2 linked regions of the Lepisosteus oculatus genome follow. The protein of the gene in region 2 interacts with the protein of the main gene of each other region in a pairwise test. Links are inferred from orthologs where the notes say so. Each region holds a gene or a part of one and is shown on either strand. Other genes may lie near its edges.

Region 1 (3,746 bases), on a different chromosome or scaffold from region 2:
CACAAGCGCGTCACCGCGCGCGGCGGGCGTGTTAATACAAGAGGGGTCAGGGGTCGAGACACGCCAGGGGAGGGGGGGGCGCCCCCCCGCAGGACGACACCTCGCCCGCCCCCCCGGCCCCCCCGGCCCCCCGCCCTCAGATGCTCAGCAGCCAGAAGAAGAAGAAGATGGCGACGAAGAGGAACAGGGAGTCCTGCCAGCTGTTGCCGTTGCCGGGGTTACCGTTGTCCGGGTAACCGCCGCCTGGGTGGGGAGTATCTGGGGGCGAGGAAGAGAACCCCCAAATCAGAACAGATTCCAGCTGGAGAGTCGCTATATAACCTCATGATACTGAGAGCACAACACACACACACTCCTGTACAGACACACACACTCCTGTAGAGACACACACACACACTCCTGTACAGACACACACACTCCTGTAGAGACACACACACACACTCCTGTACAGACTCTTACTGGACACACTGTAGAGACACACACACTCCTGTAGACTCTTATTGGACACACTGTATAGACACACACACACTCCTGTAGACTCTTACTGGACACACTGTATAGACACACACACTCCTGTACAGACTCTTACTGGACACACTGTATAGACACACACACACACTCCTGTACAGACTCTTATTGGACACACTGTATAGACACACACACACACTCCTGTACAGACTCTTATTGGACACACTGTATAGACACACACACACTCCTGTAGACTCTTACTGGACACACTGTATAGACACACACACTCCTGTACAGACTCTTACTGGACACACTGTATAGACACACACACACACTCCTGTACAGACTCTTATTGGACACACTGTATAGACACACACACACTCCTGTAGACTCTTACTGGACACACTGTATAGACACACACACACTCCTGTAGAGACACACTGTACCTGCGCGGTGAAACGGGTCATTGGTGTTGAAGACTGTAGTGAAGAAACCAAAGGGAAACGCACCAATACCGAAGGACATGTGGAACCCAGTGTCACCGAAACCCTGGAAGGGCTGAGAGAGAGAGAGGGGTTCATACACTCCAGTACATGAACACTGCACTGAGAGAGAGAGGGGTTCATACAGACACACTGACTGGACACTCCAGTACATGAACACTGCACTGAGAGAGAGAGAGGGGTTCATACAGACACACTGACTGGACACTCCAGTACATGAACACTGCACTGAGAGAGAGAGGGGTTCATACAGACACACTGACTGGACACTCCAGTACATGAACACTGCACTGAGAGAGAGAGGGGTTCATACAGACACACTGACTGGACACTCCAGTACATGAACACTGCACTGAGAGAGAGAGGGGTTCATACACACACACTGACTGGACACTCCAGTACATGAACACTGCACTGAGAGAGAGAGGGGTTCATACACACACCCTGACTGGACACTCCAGTACATGAACACTGCACTGAGAGAGAGAGGGGTTCATACAGACACACTGACTGGACACTCCAGTACATGAACACTGCACTGAGAGAGAGAGGGGTTCATACAGACACCCTGACTCAGTGACTCACCCCTCTGCTCTCCGGCTCTGGTCTCTGTCCCTGAGGTCGAGGAGGAGTTTTCAATCTATAAAAACACCAAGAAAGAGTTAATTCATGAAGCTGAGCAAAGATACCAACAACTGGAAAACAGGAAACCTCCTGAGTCTTTCAGAAGACCGGGTTTCGCAGTGCTCTGTGGTCCGACTGTTACCACTAGACAACGGGTCAGATGTAAAACCTGGAAAGGAAGGGACTGCTGTGCAGCTGGAGTCTATGAGCACTAAAAACCTGCCCCACTTCACTCAGACAGACACTGGCGCACAGTGGACACACAACGGACAGGACAGGACAGTACCGTGGGTCATCCTGACTTGAGCTCCCTCTTCCATACAGAGGAATAACGTTCTCCCGGCTGATCCCGGCCTTACACACTGGACACTGCTGTCTGCTGGGGCGGGTCTCCAACCACTGAGAGAGAGAGGGGTTAATACACTCCAGGACATGAACACTGACCTGAGAGAGAGAGAGACTGACTGGACACTCCAGGACATGAACACTGACCTGAGAGAGAGGGGTTCACACACACACACTGACTGGACACTCCAGGACATGAACACTGCACTGAGAGAGAGAGGGGTTCATACAGACACACTGACTGGACACTCCAGTACATGAACACTGTACTGGGAGAGAGACAAACTGACTGAAAGTTACATTAAACATACACCAAGGAAGAAATTAAAAAAACACTTACTTGGTGTAGACATGGCCAGCTGTTTCATGAAAGAAAGCAAAGAGATTTGCATTTAATTTCAGAAAGGTTACAAACAAGAAGTCACTATGCACATTAGACCCGTTTGGTGGGTCAGTAGCTAATTGATCAGAGGAATTCATCCAGCTGTTCCACTCCCCCACCCCCCTCTGTGTACAGAAGAGCCTCCTGTCCTGACTGGAGGAGCTCACCCAGCTGTGTCTGGAGAGAAGCCAGGGTATCGGCTTCAACCACAGGGCTGGGCAGCCTGTTCCCCACCCCCACCCCCCTCTGTGTACAGAAGAGCCTCCTGTCCTGACTGGAGGAGCTCACCCAGCTGTGTCTGGAGAGAAGCCAGGGTATCGGCTTCAACCACAGGGCTTGGCAGCCTGTTCCCCACCCCCACCCCCCTCTGTGTACACACACACACAGACAGTGTCGCTGCCTCTGAGCCCCGACCCCAGCTCGCACCAGAACAGATGTCCGCACAGGCTGATCACCGCGTCCCTGGCCGTGTCCAGGCAGATGTTACACTCGAAGGTGGCCCGGTCGCGCTCCGTGTCCCGGCCCAGCCCGCCTCCCGTCCCGCCCCGGTCGCCGTCCTCGGCCGGACCGCTGTCCGCCGTGCGCCTGGGCTCCGCCGCCATGTTTGTTTACCTGCCTGGCTCGCTCGCTCGCTCGCTCGCCTCCGGTCTCTTCCGGTTTCCGCCGGTGACACGCCGGGCCCGTAATTCACCGAGTAGAGGCGCCTCCCGGCTTGGCGTCGAGCATGAATGGGTCGCGATTCTTTCAGAAATGCGTTTATCCTGCGCTCTGTTTTTATCATATTCAGGTTCCCCACACTTGTGCTGTGCTTTAACCCTGCTCTCACTGGGCTGTACTGCGCTGTACTGTGTTTTTACCCTGCTCTCACTGGGCTGTACTGCGCTGTACTGTTTTTACCCTGCTCTCACTGGACTGTACTGCACTGTACTGTGTTTTTACCCCGTTCTTACTGTGCTTTACTGCACTGTACTGTGTTTTTACCCTGAGCTCACTGGGCTGTACTGCGCTGTACTGTGTTTTTACCCTGATCTCACTGGGCTGTACTGCGCTGTACTGTGTTTTTACCCTGCTCTCACTGGGCTGTACTGCACTGTACTGTGTTTTTACCCTGCTCTCACTGGACTGTACTGCACTGTACTGTGTTTTTACCCCGTTCTAACTGTGCTTTACTGCACTGTACTGTGTTTTTACCCTGATCTCACTGGGCTGTATTGCACTGTACTGTGTTTTTACCGTGATCTCACTGGGCTGTACTGCACTATACTGTGTTTTTACCCTGTTCTTACTGTGCTTTACTGCACTGTACTGTGTTTTTACCCTGTTCTTACTGGGCTTTACTGCGCTGTACTGTGCTTTTAACCCTGATCTCGCTGGGCTTTACTGCACTGTACTGTGTTTTTACCCTGATCCTACTGGGCTGTACT
Region 2 (3,746 bases):
CATAACATCAAAGAGACAAACGTTGCAAAAGACTGAAATCTGACTGTAACAACCTTACAATTAAACAGCACAGTACACTAATTAGCATGACTGGCTCAAATTGCCAGTCAGCACTGAGGGGTAGAAAGGGTAGTTAACCAGGGAAAGATTCGGAAAACATGATTTCGGAGCCCGATTTCGGGATTTGTTCAAACTGAGAGGGTCTACACACTTGTCTTTGGGGAACAAATGTCGTGTACTTTTAATGTTCTGCAGTGCGGAATTTCATCTCTTCCTACTACACTAATAAAAGAAGAACAGACTGTCCGCAGAACGTCCACTGGTATCCTGGGACATCTCCTCTAACAAATGGCGGAACGGAGAAAAGCAGGAGTATGCTCAACGCCCCTTAACACAAGGAAACTTCGGCAGTCATACCTCTGTTGTCTCGAAGACCCTGCTTAAGTATAAAAGTGTTCAATATCACGAGCTAGCTCAAGTATTCCAAATGTGGGAAACGACAGGAATTCTTTCTCGGGTTGTTTTTTTCCCAATCTTGAAATCCCGAAGTGCCACATCTGGGACTTCAAATGTCTTCTGCCTGAACTGAGTCTTCCTGAGGTAGAACAGGAGACCCAGGCAACAACACTGACAGGACACGTGGTAGCACAATGGCACACCTTTAGCAAAGATGCTCAAAACATGGTATAATAGCTTAACACACGTCTCATTTCAACAGCACCATTCATACAGTATGTGGATAAGAATTTATGACACGTCTGCAGATTCATGTCTATCGAGGATTGTAGTCTGAATCTGAATTGGAGCAGACACACAAAAGCTGCAGAATTCTAGCTTCTTTTTAACTTTTCATTCTCAGTCCTGTACAATCATGACCTCGAGACTCAATAATACTGCATCATTTACACTGCATTTACTGCAGCAACTTCAATCAAGTACCTTTGCTCAAAGATACAACAGCATCCTTCCAGTCTTGAACCCAGAGCCCAGACCACTGCTCTGCATCGCTGCCTTATTAAACTTATTAATTGCTTAAGGATTCATTTTAGATTCTTACCGAGCAGGTTGAGGTGGAATCACTGACGTACAGTTTTACCTCGAGTCTAAAGAAATGCACTACCTTGCGGTGGCTCAGCTTTCATTTAGCTTTATTACAGAAGTACATTCAATCATAAAGCAAGACACTTTTAAAATGTCTATGATTTGTAGAATGGTGACTCTCAGATGCACCATAACTGAGGCGACAATGTTTCAGGCTGTAAAACAAATTATTCTCCAAACAGTGGCTGCTGACTTCAGACAATAAAAGATGGATATTGGATAGCTGGATTTCGATTCATAAGAAGATATTTTTTTACATGATACGGAAGCATATTCTGACATTGAAGTCTCAAAGCTCTTCTCTCCCTAACAAAAGGAGGACGCAAATCTTTATACGCACTGAAACAGCGGAGAAATAACCGGCGGTAATAAAACGGTAGTACGAAAAGGTTCAGGCTGATTAATAACGTGTTCAGGGTAGCACAATGATGCTGAGTGCCTGATCCGTACAGTGAGACAGGCCCCTTCTCTGTGCTCTACTTTCAATACGTCTGTATGCACTCAACACACATGGCGTTGTCGGCAGAGCTGCAGTTCAAAATGTGTGAATGAGAAAGGGATGACACCTCTGCAACAGCTGTTACAGTCTTTACGATCGTGCTTTCTCAACATTCAAACCCAATATCGATGAGCTTCGTAAAAAATCCCCGATAACCACAATAAAGGAACCAGCTTCTGTGTTTAGCTAAGGAAGCCGCTTCGCGATCGCTGGATTCGTCCGCTTTGTTACATAACTTTGTGGCAGTGAGGATGTGGGTTTGTCCAGAACCGGATCAGGATTGGAGATCACGATCGGGTAGTTAACTGGGACAGAAATGGAGCTCCCGTCTTAATGACAGCCACATTTTGAGTTCTGGTGCAGGACCACGCTCCCCTTTCACGCCAACCTGAATTTCTACAAAGTGATCCAGGACATCTTTTTTTCCCCCGAAACCGAGAGAGGAAGCATGTCACTTTGGCTTAGTTTACAAAATCCACTACCCCCGTCACACTGGAATTTTTATTTTTTTTAAAAAACCACTATACCGTATAAGCGAAAAGGCTTTCACAAACACAGGGAAGTCCAATCCCACTGACTGGGCTCTTATTTTTAATTTTACTCCCTGCACTCGGCCTAACCTCCTTCCTGATCCCCGGTATTTCCTGAACCCCTCCCCGGCCGTCTCCGTCAGCCCTAGGAGCTGCCCCCTCTGGACGGCCCCGGTCGGGATGACATTAACTTCCCCTTCCCGGGGCCTCGGTAGCCCTTTTTCAACTGTTAAATTACTCTCTATTTTTTTCTTATCTGAGTGTCGTGTACGTGGCTCAAGCGTTCAGAGAAGCAAGAATGGCTAACCTCTTCGCTTTTAAGGACCTCTTTGAACTCTCGTTTGATCCTCTGCACTGCGATGTTGGCCATGGCTTTGCCGTCTCCTCTCTGTCGCTGTTTGCTGATACAGGCCTACAGCTGCAGCGTCGCTCTGCTCCTCTTTTTTTTTTACAACAAAAACAGACACCCCCCCCCCCTACCCGCACACAAATGGCGATCCGCGGAGTCTGCGCACTGTGCCAAAAGAACAATATGTTACAAACTGGAATAAAACAACTTCCTTCAGGGATATGCTAGGTATTCTGAGATGTAATATGTGTCATGTTTTTACGGATTCCGAGGAGAGGAGCTCTGCTTAATGGCGTTTTCCCATTCCGGGGCTACACAGTCAAAGCTAGGCGTTTTATTATAATAATGTCACTACTCAACTGAAATAGGTGCTGGAGCATAACCTGCTTAGCTTATTTTTGTAATCGATTTGTTTTTTTCCTTCCAGGTGTGATGTTCGAGATAGGGCCCATCTTTTGCACATATTTAATTTTGTGCTTTTTATATTTGTATTTTATTTACATTTTATCTACGTTTCCACCCACTACATACACGAACATGAAATTCAGTGAACGATATTTTTGCCGAATGATTAACCGAGTGTGTGGCAATATGTACTACAAACGGAGGAACGCGGGACCATTTTAGTTGTAAAAAAGTGCTGTACGAAATGTTAATGTGACAAGTACAGAGGGGCCTATGAAAAGTCTCATTTGAAAGATTTCGATCTTTACAGCACCTTGCCCTCTCATCTAATAGGGAAGAGTGCCACCTACTGATGTACCAAAACAAGTTCTGTCAGCCATCTAATTTTCCTTTTACTGACGAGGCCAAGTCTTGCTTAGCTTCTGACATGTGACAAGATCCAGTTTTAAAGTGTCATAAAGCAAAAACATAATCAATGTGACTCATATTTGTCAGAACCGTGGTTCAATTAAGTACCTAAGAAGAGTTCCAATACTATAACTGAATAACGTTTATGACTGGATAAAAAAAAAACAGAAATACTGCTAACTACCTCAGACTTAATTCATGTCTCATTAGGTCTACATAGAACAATTCTAGATTGCTGTTTTTACCACTCCGAATAACCACTCCAAACTACTCCCCAAAACATCTCTCTGAAATCTAGGCCTCCAGGAAGTAACAATGGGCTAGAGATTAGTGGTGCAGCATATTCAGCAGTCCATCAGTGAAGCACTGACCTTTTGACCTTGTGCAGTACTGATACACAACACAAAATGGATAACAAAGAGTACAGCAGGGCAAGTAAGAGAGAACCACCGAG

The links. The genes of interacting proteins can lie anywhere in the genome.
Region 1: the proteins of ube2kb (region 2) and rnf5 interact in binary tests that used the Homo sapiens proteins (3 or more experiments, as listed by UniProt). The link is inferred for Lepisosteus oculatus from reciprocal best matches to the Homo sapiens genes UBE2K and RNF5.

What each region holds. Positions count from the first base shown.
Region 1 is NC_090709.1:39,110,815-39,114,560, forward strand, and holds the start of rnf5 (E3 ubiquitin-protein ligase RNF5), read right to left. Parts: upstream 2,929-3,746; 5' UTR 2,925-2,928; coding exon 2,749-2,924; intron 2,300-2,748; coding exon 2,281-2,299; intron 1,995-2,280; coding exon 1,882-1,994; intron 1,612-1,881; coding exon 1,557-1,611; intron 1,027-1,556; coding exon 915-1,026; intron 259-914; coding exon 137-258; 3' UTR 1-136. UniProt on the Homo sapiens protein: Membrane-bound E3 ubiquitin-protein ligase that mediates ubiquitination of target proteins. May function together with E2 ubiquitin-conjugating enzymes UBE2D1/UBCH5A and UBE2D2/UBC4.
Region 2 is NC_090696.1:68,332,079-68,335,824, forward strand, and holds the start of ube2kb (ubiquitin-conjugating enzyme E2Kb (UBC1 homolog, yeast)), read right to left. Parts: upstream 2,596-3,746; 5' UTR 2,501-2,595; coding exon 2,438-2,500; intron 1-2,437. UniProt on the Homo sapiens protein: Accepts ubiquitin from the E1 complex and catalyzes its covalent attachment to other proteins. In vitro, in the presence or in the absence of BRCA1-BARD1 E3 ubiquitin-protein ligase complex, catalyzes the synthesis of 'Lys-48'-linked polyubiquitin chains.